Arabidopsis thaliana: one gene and its partners. The protein of the gene in region 2 interacts with the protein of the main gene of each other region in a pairwise test. Each region holds a gene or a part of one and is shown on either strand. Other genes may lie near its edges.

What was found.
Region 1: the proteins of UMAMIT23 (region 2) and AT3G57070 interact in a protein complementation assay, tested with the Arabidopsis thaliana proteins (one large-scale study listed by BioGRID).
Region 3: the proteins of UMAMIT23 (region 2) and ACBP6 interact in a protein complementation assay, tested with the Arabidopsis thaliana proteins (one large-scale study listed by BioGRID).

Annotation. Positions count from the first base shown.
Region 1 is NC_003074.8:21,122,082-21,126,784, reverse strand, and holds AT3G57070 (Glutaredoxin family protein), read right to left. Parts: upstream 2,927-4,703; 5' UTR 2,612-2,926; coding exon 1,358-2,611; 3' UTR 1,103-1,357; downstream 1-1,102. Other genes in the region: NRPE5 (Eukaryotic rpb5 RNA polymerase subunit family protein), read right to left, coding at 656-907; AT3G57072 (uncharacterized protein), read left to right, coding at 949-1,086.
Region 2 is NC_003070.9:25,548,717-25,554,971, reverse strand, and holds UMAMIT23 (nodulin MtN21 /EamA-like transporter family protein), read right to left. Parts: upstream 3,483-6,255; 5' UTR 3,078-3,482; coding exon 2,884-3,077; intron 2,812-2,883; coding exon 2,749-2,811; intron 1,990-2,748; coding exon 1,873-1,989; intron 1,778-1,872; coding exon 1,528-1,777; intron 1,424-1,527; coding exon 1,265-1,423; intron 1,127-1,264; coding exon 975-1,126; intron 880-974; coding exon 714-879; 3' UTR 501-713; downstream 1-500. Other genes in the region: AT1G68180 (RING/U-box superfamily protein), read right to left, coding at 1-156.
Region 3 is NC_003070.9:11,410,046-11,414,802, forward strand, and holds ACBP6 (acyl-CoA-binding protein 6), read right to left. Parts: upstream 2,189-4,757; 5' UTR 2,055-2,188; coding exon 2,043-2,054; intron 1,590-2,042; coding exon 1,472-1,589; intron 1,368-1,471; coding exon 1,305-1,367; intron 1,173-1,304; coding exon 1,087-1,172; 3' UTR 721-1,086; downstream 1-720. Other genes in the region: FRL2 (FRIGIDA like 2), read right to left, coding at 2,940-4,361. UniProt on the Arabidopsis thaliana protein: Binds medium- and long-chain acyl-CoA esters with very high affinity. May function as an intracellular carrier of acyl-CoA esters. Confers resistance to cold and freezing.

The DNA of each region.
Region 1 (4,703 bases), on a different chromosome or scaffold from region 2:
TATGCCATAAGACTAGAGCTGATGCAAGAAACATCATGAGTTGAAAATAGAAGACATTTATAAGTAACAAAAATCTTGTAGCAATCAATATATGAAATCGACTAGTTGAAAGCAGGTGACAAGCATGTCTATAAGCATACAAAAAGAGGTAACATGAACCAAACAACCAACAAGAAAAGGGGTAAGATTTTCAACAAATATCCAACTTAACCGTTCTTTTGCAGTTCAATCTCATTCTAGAATTAAACATGGAAACTTGTAGCTATCATCAGAACTCGCACATTTGACATTGACCATACTCTAAAGATTGAAGAGATCACTCAATGAATTGTCCGAATGTTCAATAGCCATAGGAAGAGATCTAAGAATCACTTTGCTAGTTGTTACCAGAAACATTTCACATTACAAAAATTCAGAGGACAAACAAATGAGGTATGCTACTTGATAAGGACAATAAAGTAGTAAACTTTAGTCATCTGAATCCACAAAAGTAGCAATTCAAACTTCAATTAGAAGATAAGAAATTTAAAAGAGTCACAAATTTCATATTCCATCATCTTCTTCACTGCCAAACAGTAAACCCCACAACATGCAAAGACAAAAAAACAGCTAGAAATCGAAAAATCACAACGAATACGAAAATACTTCGATATACCTTTTTGGTAGAATCGGAGCGATGCAGAGCGGAGATGCGAAGACGATCAACATCGGGACGTTCACCGTAAACAGTTCGAAAATCGTGAAGGGAGAGATTGATATCTTCGTCGGAGACTTCGTAGCCTCTGTCTCGGAGCATCTGCAAGCCATTTCGCCGCGCAAGATAGTATCTATGACTCTCTTCACTCGATAGATCCACGTATTTGCTCAGACACAGAACCGAAGCTGTCTCTTTCCCTTTCACTTCCATTTTTGTCTCCCTTATCTGAGCAAAAGTCGTCGAGTCCAGTGATGGGATTTAAAGGGAGACTAAACGTTGTCGTTTTAGGATTTAAGAACAGAAGGAAGAAAGCTAATATAGGTGAGCGAGCAGGTGACATCAATCAATCAAACTACATTTGTGGTAATGTTGCACATATTTTTCATTGATAAAAAATACCTTGCAAACAAAGCAAATCATTCGGCTATTATGCGAATTATCAATCATCATCTACCATTTGATGTACTTCATATAGTAAGAATCATTTAGTTCAAAAGGTCAAGAGCGTAAATGGAACAAAAGAACACAACTCATAAGAGTAAATAATAAAAGGCTTGAGCCAACTTACTTATTTGAATATACATTACTAACCAAATACCATGTTTAGTCAATCAATCTATATCCCCTTTCTCACACACATCTTTTGATCAAACTGATCACTTAGAGACAACACACACGACAACGCACCAATCCATTCTCATTGCATTTAGGACACCGCTTAAACCGTTCATCTTGTTCTTCAAACACTTTGGTGCTACCATCACAGTTAGTACAAGGCACAAACCTTGCATCACCACAGCTCCGGCATGTCCCCAAGCGTTCACAAGCAGGGAAATCTTTCAACATCTCTGCTAATTCACCACCATCATTTAGCTGCATAATCTCCTCCACGCCACCAATGTGAGTTCCTCTGATAAACACCTGAGGCAAACAAACCGGTTTCTCTGCGGCGCCAAGCACGCTTTGAAGCTCTTTCCTGTATTTGGAATCCATAGAGATGTCACGTTCGTCTACGGACACTTGAACTCCTCTCAATATCGCTCTAACGCAACAACAATCCTCGTATGTCTTTCGAATTCCTCTGAGGGTTGTGAAGTAGAGTACAATCTTGTCTTCTGTTCCTGGTAATCTCGGTTTGGCTGGTGATGAAATCAATTGACTAGAGGATACAGATTTTGGTTCTTCGCTTATTAAGATGGATGGATTTGATGATGGGCTACAAGAGAGAGACTTTGTGGGTCTATGAGGGTTTCTAGTATTACTATGATTGCTTAATAGCTTAGAAGACAAAGCTTTCTTGTAGGATGAGACAATGCTGGGATCTAAATCAGAGAGAAATGATTCTTCAGACAAATGCTTCCACAAAGGTTGCTTAGGTTTATAAGTCAAAGGAACCCAATCTCCATCGTCTTCTTCGATTCTCACAATCTCGTAAGATTCATCCAATTTCAACGAAGACCCATTTAAACTCACATTCCGATTCGGGTCGGGTTTAGAGCAAAAATCCGAATTTAGACGCTTACCCGGTTTGGGAATTTCGAATTCGAATTCATCGTCCAAGCCATCCATAAGCTCCCAAGTGTTTATGACTGAATCAGGAGAGACCGGATCTGGTGTGTTCTTCCCGGAGATTGAGATACGAGGCAGCGTTTGTTGGTCGGAAGAGGAGTTTTTGGATCCATCGAGATCAAGGAGGAGAAGAGAACCGTACGATGTAGATGTAAGGGAAACAAGGTGATGAGAGTCGCCTTTTCTCGCCGGAGGATGGTGAACCAACGGCGTCGGAAACGAAAAAGCTCTCTGCACCGCCGGTGAAGATGAATCGGAGCTGAATTTGGTCGGCGGTGGAGAAAACGCAGATGAGGAAGAAGCAGAAGAAACGGAAGAAGCGGTCTTTGAAGCAGAAGAACCCATTACGAAATCGAATTTAAAAACACTGACTTTAATGAATAATAGTTTTTAGTTTCTTTGCTCTTTCTGGTTTCTTCTGAGATTGTTTGGTTATCTCTGGGAATGATAGAGAACAGAGAGAGAAAAGAGAAAGGTGGAGAATAGCTGTCTAGGGCAGTTGAAGGTGGAAGATGGTGAAATTTAATGGCAGAAGAAAGAAACGATGTTGATGTTGATTTTCGGACACAACAACAGTTCTCGATTTGATTTTGATTGTGTAACCAAAGCTTATGTATAGAAGAAGAACCAAATTCCAAGAACTTTCCTTCACTGTCTATAAATTGAGCCAAACGTTTTTAAAATAATGAAGAAAAATAAAATATTAAAGAAAAATGTCATTATCTTCATAACTGCAATCTTTAATTCTTTATGATATTTTTATTAGAACTAAACGAAGATTGGAGGAGAAAAAAGGTTGATCAATCAAACAAATATTGACATGTCAGTTCCAAAAGATTTTATAATTAATTTTGGGGGTTCACAATATACATCTACATCTAAATTTTAGTTGAATTTATTTTTGCAATGCTTTATTTCTAAATTGCTTTTTTAATTTACGTCTTTGAAAATGTTTATTCCAAAATTTATCTTTTGAAATTTGCATTCAAACAAAATGTTTTGATATGACTCTATCTAGATATAAATATTAAGAATATATAAATTAAAAATATTAATTTTTATATCTACATATATTAAAATTTAATTTTAAAGTAAAAACATATAGATAATATTAAAGGTTTGAATGATAAATTTCAAGATAGGACCTAGACAGAGTATTCACGTGAATAATTTAAATCCTTGACTTTACGGAAAGTTTCTATATCTGACCTGTTATTAACTTTTCTTCTACCATAATTTAATATCATCATCTCATTGAACTCTTCCTTATTCATTTTTATTCATAATCAAACATTTTATTCATTTTGATTGATCTACACATACCTTTTTCTATTTCCTAAGATGATGTTTTGCAGTTAGCTGGTACGATTTAGTTGACTAGTCTTTGTAATGAAAGCTGTATATTCTAATCCCCACGAGAGAAAGTATGGTGCTTTGCTGTTACATTTTTTGTTTTTAATGAATTTGCTGTTACATTTTTGCATTATGTTAATGTATTTGAATCACGTATTATTATGTTATACGGTTTAGAAAAAGAACAGCTAATTGGACCACATCTTAATTAAAAATAACACTAATTGGACTACACATAAACAACATGGGAAGAAGTTGAATTGCACAAGGCAAAAACTCCTTGAAGATTCTTTATTATTTTTGGTACTTTGTTCTTTGTCTTTTACTCTTTTCAATAAGGGAAGAGGAAAGATTCGAAATTCAGAACCTAACACTACAAAGACTAAATATGATATAAGGAAGATATGCATAAGACAAAAAGCTAATATAAGAGGAAAGCTCAATAGTTTTAGAGGTGGATCTTGACAGATAAAAATGTTTGGTTCTTCATTGAATATTTGAATGTAATAGATTTCTTTGACGCCAATGAGCTAAATATATACAAAGTAAATTCAAAGGGAAAAATCATTTTCTCTTGTGTGATCTTCCAAGCAGAAGAGGCTAAAAAAGATTTCTTGAAATTGATAGAAACTCAATTGTTTCAGCAACATTTTTTCACAAGTATGAGGTCACATATGTTCTGGAATTCTACAAACTATATACTATACACATATACTGCTGCTCTGCTCTCTCTCTACCTCTCTCTGTCTGTCAAAATGTTTCATAGTTAAGAACCTTGCCAGCGTACCAACAGAAGATATGATAGAACCTTACTTGTGTACTCTGCGCATTTACTGCTGTAAAAGCCCTTCCTGAATTCAGAAAGGCCTGAATGCAAAACAATGACTAGTAAGCTAAGGAGAAAAACTAAAACAAAAGGTAATCTTCAGGATTATAAAACATGCTTCCAGGAATGTTTTGGTACTGAAGCTAAGAAGGTATTATCACCTATGAACTGTTTTCCAGACAATCACTTAAGCATATGGATCATATCATCAATGCTGATGTACTTATGTAGAGAGGAGATAAATTATCTGAGCATGTG
Region 2 (6,255 bases):
ATTGATCTCTCTAGAACAGAAAGGACATATGGGACCATATAGACCAAAGCTTCTTAGCCTAATGGTACGGCTACAATGGCGACAATAGAAGTAATGGAACGTTCTTGTTCTTCTTGTTCCATTCACAATAACTCTTGGACGATAAGCAGATGTCATGTTTTCAATCTTTTTATTTTTTCGTCGGTAGGATCTTTATATATGCATTTATAATTAAATACGTGTACATGTTTTCAAGAAGAGGCAAGACAAAGCCTATACGAGTGAATGAGTTATTCTTTTCTGTGTTTAGGTTGGTGTCGTATGGTCTCTGCTATGTCAACTTGCGAATCTTTTAGTGATTTGTCTTGTAGGAATCAGAGATTCAAAAGGATGCTTGGAGAATCAATTACGATAAAGGGTTTTAGGTTTGGAGGAGAGTTATTTGAGCGGCCCATTATGGGCCCATTCCAACTTACTAGTTCATGTACATATTGTATGACTCAGAAGTGAAATTAATTAGACCCAAATAAGATTTTACAATTTATTATTGCTCGTTAAAAAAAATCCATGCAACATCTTATGAAGTTGTGGATGTGGTAGTACAAAGGTCATATGCACATAATAACTTACATAGATGGTTCAATAAATCATCGTTAGATAGAATAATAATGTTAATATTCACTTAATCAAATATACTAACAACAAGTCGTTCAACATATATAAATGATGGTTGATCAAGGGACATTTGTACTTAATGTTGGGAGATTGTTGACTGTGATATCTTTGCTAGTCTTATTTGTTTCATTATGATCCGATGTCGTAAGCATACTCTTCATTTCCTTGTTTTTAGCCCATAGCACAATGTATAATGCTCCAACGATAATCACTGTACCAATTATGCTGTAATGTTTTCAAGTAAAAATAAACCATATTATATATACATACGTATATCAAATCCATTTCCACAAAACAATACAATATACATGAGTTTGTACCTCCCCAAATGAAGTGTTTCATCTAGCAAAAATGATCCAACAAGAGCTACGATCACAAGTCCTACAGGGCTAAATACCGATACAAATAACGGTCCTCTAGACTCAATGCACCATGCGTTGACTGCTACCACCATCCCGGAAATCAGAATTGCCTACAATGGACAACATAAAGCACATATATTCAAGGCCAACCTAAATGAATCTTCACACATGTATAGACTTGTATGAATTTGTAATTAGACAACAAGACATATATATATATACTTAATAATGGATGGATTGATATTTACCGCATAAGCAATGGTTAATAGTCTGATATTCCATCCTAATCTCCATTCATCTAAATCGTGTTCCCAGCAAAGAGCGACAAGCATAGCCACTACGCCTCCCATCATGTTCATTAGAGTCGCGTTCCAATAAGGCCCTCCAAATTGTTTGCTTATCTTAACCTATAAACAAAACAAAAACAAAAAAAAACACGTACATGCCTAATGCCTTAGTACACAAAACAAACACAAAAATAAGAAATCTGAAAAACAAACAAAAAACTTGCCTGCAATAAAAACCAAAGTGAGATGGAAATGTTTCCCCCAAAAACTAGAAGAGCCCCAAGGATGGAAATATGGTGAGTGGTAGCATCACGTGAGGAGTCACGTGGTTGGTTCACTAGGTTAACGTGAGTTGACCATAGTCGGATCTCTATTCCTCTATAGAATATAAAGACAAGAGCTCCACCAACACCAAACAATGTTCCAAAAACCTTAGCCAGCCCTACGCTCGATCCAAGCCGTACACTCTCCATCCTATGAGACCCATAAAAGTTTATTATATTTTGTTTAATGGTATAAACATATATTAAAAGGGGTTAACTAAATTGTGATTCGTTGATTAGACTTGCCTAAGAAGTGCAGCGAAGATGAAAGTGACCAATGGAGTGAGAACGCCAGCAGCAGAGGTGAATGTTGCTGACGTTAGAGCTAGACCCGTAATGGTTAGGATACTTGGTATCACCACACTGTTCAATTATCACCACATTAAAGAAGTCTTATAATCCCAATATATATATATTCTTCAACAATTTTACATTTTACTAATGATAATCAATATTATCAACTAGTATTTTCAGCCAAAACGTAGTCTTCTATGTTTTTTGGTACATGTTGGTTTTTATTGTCAAACCACTAGTTGGTAATATTGAGTAGAATGGTTAAAACTACTAAGTACTACCCTGTTTGAATGTTAGATAATAATATTGAATACGTTCAAATAATCTTCTAGAGTTCTCTATGTTTTGGTACATTTTAAGTTTTTCAGACTAAGTATACGTTTTTTAACTTTAAAGTAAATTTAAGTAAAATTAAACTCTAGAAGATTAATTACGTTTTATAAAACCAGTGTGCTCTGGATTGTGGTTTTGTGGTGAGGAGATTTTGGTAAGAACTAAATTCAACTCATGCTACCTAAGCTAAAATATCCGACGACTTACCTAGCCAGTGGCTAATATGTTTGAAAACCAATAGGAAATCGAATTTGAACATATATAGGAATATATAAATTTTATAGTCTTGCATTAAACTTCTGTAACACTCAAACCATGTATATAGATTATTTTTTTCAATTTCGTATATTATAAAATGGTTTATTTTGAGAAATTTATCACAAAAAAGTTAACATATATATAACCTTAGGACACAAGAGGACATCCAAAAAAACGAAAAATGATTTTTCGTTTTGTGTGTGTGTGTGTGTGTGTGTGTGTGTGACTATTACGTACCCGAGTAACCCTGAGAGTAATGCTAGTAACATCAGCCTGCATGTAAACTCTGGCCTCTTCTTCCTAATCGATCACATGAAGTTAATTAATATCAAAGCATACAAACACAACCATATTATGTGAAAGAAAAACAACCTTTGAAAGATGAAGCATATAGGAATCATGAAAAGTGTAGCAAACAAGAGACGATAGGCCACGAGTACACTTGGGTTCATACCATCTTCCATTGCTAGCTTGAAAAATATGTTTAACCCTGCCGTAGCTATTTGAACCACCACCATTGCCGTTATATCTTTCATTTCTCTCCACATTTCACATATTCTCTCCATAATTTCTTATTCCTTTCTAGTTCCTTAATTACCTCACACTCATTTATTTATCGATTTATATATAGGGAGAGACAGAGAGAGAGAAAGAGAGAGATAGGCTAGCTAAAATGAGTTAAGGAATCCTGACTTATCCTGAGCCTCTGAGCTTTATTTATCACACCAATACTTCTCTTTTACTAGCTGTTTTCCACTAAATTTCAGTACCATAAATGAGTTATGCGATATAAGTAGATGCTAAATTCAAATTCAGGAATATTATTATAGATATGTCATATATAGAGTCTAATGAAAAGTGCTTCTAAATTTTTTAATACTCTAAAACACTAAACTTATCCAAAACACTTTAGAAATCTACTCTCTGGTCACAAACGGGTGGTGACAGATAATAGATTCTCAAACATTTCGTATAATAAGGTTTTAAACTTTTAATAGATATATAAGTTTCATGAAAAAAAAAAAAAGTTTCATGAATATTAACCAATGATGGTAGTTGCATTTATTTATTTTTGGCTAGTGCATTCACATAACATAACGAATGCATTTTAAGAATAATGTGATAAGAACATTCTAAATTTCCTGACCAAAAAAATAAATTTAAGAACTTCTTGAAATAAATTACTAGACCTCCACGGATATGAACTGTTTTGCACTCCACTTTACGTAGATAGTGTACGTGTAAGTGGGTGATTTTGTTACAAAACTAGTTTAAAGATAGAGAAAAAAAAAGTATAAATTGTCCAAAAAGTAGTTCACCGTTCACGTTTATATACAAATCGGAATGCATAAGAACAAAAAGAGAATCCAGCAACGTGTTCAGATGCTGTTGACACGTGCGATGCATGCTTTCTGCTTGTAGCCCATCAATAGTTTTTATTTTTCCAAAATACGAAGTGTTTCGAATTGTTTAGTGTCTGTCGCAAGTAGTTTCATGTAGGCATGCATGGTTTATGAAAATATGCTTCACCTTGGCCGTTGATTTTTTATCTAGCTTTAAGGAATCTCATCTTTATTTCTATTCACGAACATAGTTCTAGTAACGTACGTCAGTTGTGTGTTATAACTCAGTATACACCGTTACTTTAAAGTTATACAGATGAATTATCTCTGACAATTTTACACTTTTGAGATTTTCTTTAGTGGAACAAACTTTAATTATATATAGCTTCTAATTTTATTTTATTTTCTAATTTCTAAACATATTACGAAAAATTAATATGAGAGAGTGGTTTCAGCAAAATTAGCTAGGACTTACTTACATGATGAGGACTATATATATGAGAAAAAAACTGTGAATTAAGGTTGGGATTAAAGTCTTAAAGAAACCAAAAGCAGGGATAATGTAGAAATTTGGAGATGCTAAGGCCACAAGTTAATAGTTGAGACTTGATAGATATGATAACTTATTTGTTTTGTTTTTTGTTTTTTTTGTAGTTAATAACATTGTAAATCAGTAAAACCAAAATCTAGTTCCTGCCAACAATTTTGAAATTAAAATGTATGGATCACCTTAATGAGCGAAAGAGTGCATCAAGTCCAACAACAAAGTCTTTCTCTTCTTCATAACATAATGTTCGGAGTTAAATTAACTTGAATGAAACAAATCTTTAATTAATTATATTGATTTGCATTATTAGGAAACTGTTCAGATTAGCCTACCAAAAAAAAGGAAACTGTATTACTGTTAGTGGAGCAAGTATAATGTGCAGTTTATTGGGCTCATAGCATTTTAGAGCCCAAATTTATTCGTTTCTTAAGCAAAATCTTAAATGCGTATAAAATTAGTCTTTTACAAATATAGCATGTGGCCCAATATAAACGTCAGGCCTGATAATATGTTTAAGTGTCCATGACTTTTAACATGTTTCATTTGATAAGCATTTTTTACCAGAAGCTTATGTTAATTCACTTATACGGGTTGGGGATAATGAAAATTGAATTTGGACTAATAGAGCATACATCAATCGAGGAAAATTGCAACGACAAAGAAACGACGGTACATCAATTTTACCTTAGTAAAATCTTGATAAGATTTGAAGTGTGAGTTAATAACAAATTTTAAAAAACCTAACTTATCTAGTGAAAAAAAATGAAAATTATAAAAGCTGATGGCATTTAGATAGTAAACAGAAATCAAAATTGTTAAGTGATAGTAGTCTTGTTGCAAATGATAAGTCCACTGAGAACATGACATCGAGGATCGAGTCTCGCTCCTTATAAATGTTGACAAAAAAAAACAGAAATCAAAACATCATTTTGGTGTATGAATATATTTCTTGATCTATTTAGTGTATCAATAATTTCTTAAATATCAAAAAAAAAAAAAAAAACTCTTCATCGATTTTTATATGCTTGCTTCTGTTATTGGTTCATAACTATGAGTCCAATTATTTTCATAGTCGCATATAATTGTAAAAGTATTGTACGAACGGATCAGTTTATCCCACAATTATTGAGATGCTAAGATTAATTTTTGTATTAACATAAAGAAAAAATATGAATCAAATTCATATATCTTGAGATTTTGACAACGAGGATGTCACACATTGACATTATTAGAAAACAAAAAAAAAAAAAAAAAATCTTGTCTACTTGATAAAACTTTTTGGAATAAAAAAAGTGAGGTAGAAGAAAGAAAGGCATCAAATGCTTTATTATTGGGATTCGCACTATTTACTAAATTCCACGATCTGCCAACCATCTCTTTTATTTATTTACCTATTTTCTTATTTTTTTCTACTAATTTTGGTAGTAAAAAAAAAAAAATGAATATGTTCTTAGTCATATCTCTCCCTTCAATTTAGGAAGAGAATCTTTTCTAAAATTCCCCATTCCTACTTACTTTTATAGTCAAAATCCATTTTTTTCCATTTCAACTAATTGTGTTGGAAAATAATTAATATTAGATTTCAATTAAGTTTATCATCAATATGGTGAAAAGTCATAAAGTAATGTATTAATAATTTTTTCATTATTTGTCTAAAAATCCTTCATTGGCTTATAGCTTACAAGGCTGCTCTGTCTAATATACAGAGGACAAGAGAAAAAAAAAAAAAGAAAAAAAAAATTGTGATTTGGTAAACAAAATCAAATTTTGGTTTCTTTGTGAGAACTTAACTTAGGGTTTATAAAGTTCCAAGCTTTATCCATGGCGTAAGATGATTCACCTTCTCAAAGTTTG
Region 3 (4,757 bases), about 14 Mb from region 2:
TAAGAAATATGGTTAGTTTAGAGATATTGTTTATATTATGTAATTAAATCATTAATTTCGTTTTTAATTATTATTTTTTAGGTAACTTTTCCAAAAATTAATGTTATCCAAGATCAGAACAGAATTAAACATGTTATCCAGGATCCGAATAGAGTTAAATCGGGTAAAACCCACCCATTTGAATTAATTGTTGAATTATGGTTCACATCTTCAACATTATCTTCAAAAACCTCCTACAAAAATGTATATATAGATTAATTATTTCACTTATATTAAAATATATAAAAGAATTTGTTATGTTAAAGTGCATATACTATATATTTATATCGTTTAATTTTCAATTGAAAAACACAATGCATTTAATATAAAAATTCTAGATGTATAATTTTGATAAAGAGATTATCATAATACTAAATATTAGTATGTTCAACATACAATTAATTATTTTAATATTCTACAATATTATTTAATTTCTTGAATCACGGTTAAGAGATTATCATTAAGGGAAGGAAGTTAATCTACAATCAATAAAAAATAAAAGTAATTATGATCAACTCAATAAAAAAACTATTGTTTTTGTCATCTACCAAATTATAAACCTCAAATTTGTAGACACTTTAAAACTAAACGTCTATTTATTTACGAATTTGACTTTAAATAAACCACATACAATTTGAACAATTCTGCCAATGTTCGAGACGAAAAAAATAAATAAAAAATCTGCCACGTTCTTTTTTTTTCCAGCTTTTGTCTTATGTACTCCAAATTGAAATAAAACGAAAGTTTTCTAGTGAGTGGTGAATGCGATGGACCATGAAGAAAAAGACCTACGGACCAGAACGAATATATCATCTTGAATTCAACTGTTTTAACTAAGACCATATCGAGGACGGACCAAAAATAACTTATGGATTTAGTTTGCATCATGATTCTCTGTTTTAACCAATATCAAGCATTTTTAAGAGATCACACCATGTCACAAAGTAGATAGCTTAAATATGATAGAAACACAAGAGCAAGAACAAGTCTTATGCAATGTTATTTTGATGCTTAAGATAAAGTTACTGCAGATGAGGATTTGATTCATCAGGTTGAAGCCTTGGAAGCAGCAACTTCCAAGAGTTGCTTGACCTTAGTGATATAGTCATTCATGGCTTCTTCCGATGATTTCCCTGACATCATAAACAAAGAAAAGTTCAAATTCAATTCCCCAAGCACAAAAAATTGTTGAACTTGAGACAAGAATCCAAATTACAAACAAATCACTAAGCTAAAAAAGTTGATCACTTGAATTGTTTTTGTACCTTCAACAGCCTTCCAAGCATCCCACTTGGCTCTCTCCTTCATGCTGAACATTCCAGGACGACCTTTGAATCAATCAATAAACAAATACACATTATTAACAACATTACAGAAAAGTGAACTAAGAAGCAAAAATAGAGGATGTTAATATTCAGACAAAAATATTAACTGGTGTCCACAGGCCCAAACTTGGCTTGCTTGTAGAGTCCGTAGAGAATGAGCAAATCCTCGTTGGATGGCAACTCCGTGAGCGTATTCACTTTCTCAGCGTGCTCCTCAAATTCCTCCTGCAGATATATAAATCAGTGAAACAACAAATTCGAAGAAAAGATTCTTAATAGCCTAATACACCATCAAACATATTACTACTTAAAATTCTCAATCGGGATACAATAATCAAACAAAACTCAATAAAACCAAACCTAGCTCAGATTCAAAACTATATTACCCATCAGCAAACAGTGTTTAACAAATCAGTTATAAGAACAGTAAATGGACAAAATCATACAGAGAAAAAGCGTGATCAGTAATAATTCAATTCCATAAAGTGATCATTCTTGACTATACAAGCTTCAATTTCGTAACTATAAGGAACCTATATATCTGCAAATCTGGATCAAACAAGGCTACCAACACAGAAAATATAGAATTCAGGAATGGTGAACACAAACAAAACTAAGATCCGAGTAGTAATAAACCGAAACCGAGATCGGTTTGGTTCATTTTGGATCTGAACGTACCTTCAAACCCATGATGAATAGACGTCGGAAGTTGAGATTGGTAGGAGAATTAAATCAGTGTAAGACGGAGAAGACGAGGACAACGCGTGAGATATATATGGGCGTCATGATAAACCTCTCAGGCCCATAAGCCATAACTATTAAATATTTTCTTTAAAGGAAATAAATATTTTTAGAGATAGATACTGTATACGTGGATTCAGACACCCCGTTGATTGGCTTATTCTGATCAGTATGGGTACAACTGTAAAACAAAGAACATGTTCTGTTTTTTCTTTTTTTTGCTCATCGAACATGTTCCTTCTCCATTGAAATGACAATATTAATTTTCTGTTCCATCAGAAAAACCATAAGCATATCCTTTTGTAAACTTAAATAGTTTAATGAAAAAAAAACTATTTCTGTTTCTGTGCTAGTTGAATATTATCCTTTGGATCATTTTAGATATCCAGACACGTAGATTTCTTCCCACTACAACAAATCAAACCAAAAGGGATCTTTGGTGATTATAAGAAAAAAGGGAGGAAATCTTGGAAGATTACCTAACAAATCAAGGAATATAAATGTTAGATCAAAACCATAAAGACCATTCCTCCACAAGTAAACTAAACTAAATTAAAAAGAGGTTAAGGTTAGGTTATAAAACTGTACAATCAAGGCAAAATCCTCTATAGTCGCTTCACCAGGTAAACAAAAAAAGAAAAAACGGATCAATTTGCTCTTATGTTATCCCCCAAACAGCGACTATATCAAGTGTTATCTATGTCAAAACTCTCGAAATTTACTTGATATTCATTACTGAACATCAAAAACACATAGAGAGCATAGACCTGTTCGAGCAGAAATCTTCTCAATATCGCTTGCATTCCTATAATAAATCTTACCAATAGAGAGATGCTACTGAGGATAGTACGGTGGGCGGTACTGAGGTGGTGGCATCCCATAACCAGTTTGCTGCACATAAAAGACGGGTCGAGAAGCTGGAGCTGGAACCGAGCCAAATAGAGCCCTTGGGTTGCCATATGGGACAGCAACACCAGGAAGTATTGAGCTTAAAAGACCATATGGGTTCACTTGTAAAATCTGACTAGGAGTAGGCAAAAGTGGTGGTTGTTGTTGCGGCCTCAGAGGTGGGATTGTCAAATTATATTCCATACTTGAACCATTAGCAACTCGAGGACGCTTATTATCGACCTTTTGTTCTTGTGGTTGTTGGGGATTAGCAGGTGAATTGAACTTAGTGGCACGCTTCCTCTGAGCTTTCTGATCCTCCAACTCCTTAACACATTCTTCGAGTTTCTCTTCCATGAACTCGGACTCGATGTTTTTCTCTTTCACGACTTTGATAACTGCTCTCAAAGCACTTAGTTCTTTATCAGTAGCTTCGTTCTGCACCTTAAGAGAGTAATTCCCTTCAGCACAAACTCTCTTAGCAGCTTCTCTAGAGTTCTTCAAACTAGTTTTCAAAATCGAAACTGGTTCAAATTCACCCACCATCTCATTCTCGTAAATGAATCTAATAGCAACAAGTAATCTCCCAGTATCCAAAAACTTCTGAACGAGAACTCCTATTCGATTTCTATCTAAACCAATCTTCTTGCAGATCGTTGTTGCTTGTTTATACTTAGAGATCAAGAAAATGTAATCACAAATCTCCTCAGTACTAAATAAAGACCCTAATTCAAAAGCTGCAACCAAATGCAAAAACCCTAACGCTTCTGATGGTTTGTTACCTATATTTGGTTTCCAATCATAAGCAATAGTCCTAGCTCTTTCTCTCAAATCATTCGTGAGATTCGCATTGATCTCAATCAAAGCTTCTAATAACAAAACGAAGATCCTCTTCACATCGATCGCTCTCGCCGAGGAAGACGACGATGGTGATGAGCAATGGTAAGAACCTTCGATTGCATCTAGAACCAAAGGTGCTGGATTCTCTGAGCATCGAATCGCATTAGGAAGCTCTTCATTGATAGATAAACGCTTCCTCGAATTCTCAATCATGTAGTTACCCAAACCTTTTCCATCATTCTTCTCACAAAACTTTCTCAATTCCGGCCAAAGGACTGGTGTCTCCGTCGTAACCGCCGTGGGAGTTTCGATATTACCGGAATTGGAACTAGTCACGGCTGATTGGAGGCGGTTAAACAATGAAGACTGGAGAGAAGAAAAGTGAGAGTCAATCTCAGACCATGAGAGGTTAAAAGATGGTGAAAGGAGAGATCGATGAGCTTGAAGATCATCGAAAGCTTTCTTCAATTTTTGTTTCTTCTCATCAATTTGATTAATCGATGCGGCGATTGATTCCGCCGCCGTCATAATCTGAACCCTAGGTTTATTAAATTGCTTTGCTCCGCCGTATCGGAATCTCAATCTCTGAGACCGAGAGAGCGATTTATTTCCAAATCAATCACTACTTTAAAAAAAACTTTATTGCTTATATATGTGAACAGAATTTGACAAGGCTTAAGATTCCGGTTAATGAATCAAATCCCTTTGGTCCAATTATCTAAACCAGATTTTCCTCAATCTATCGACTCACTTCCTGAGACCAAGAGAGCGATTTATTTCCAAAGCAAAATAACTATTTTTGAATAACTTTATTGCTTCTATATTTGACAGGCTTATATGGTCTGGGATTAAAATGTCAAATTTTCTATTGGGTCAAAACAGGAAAACAATTCCGGTTTATTAATCAAATCGCTTTGGTCCAAT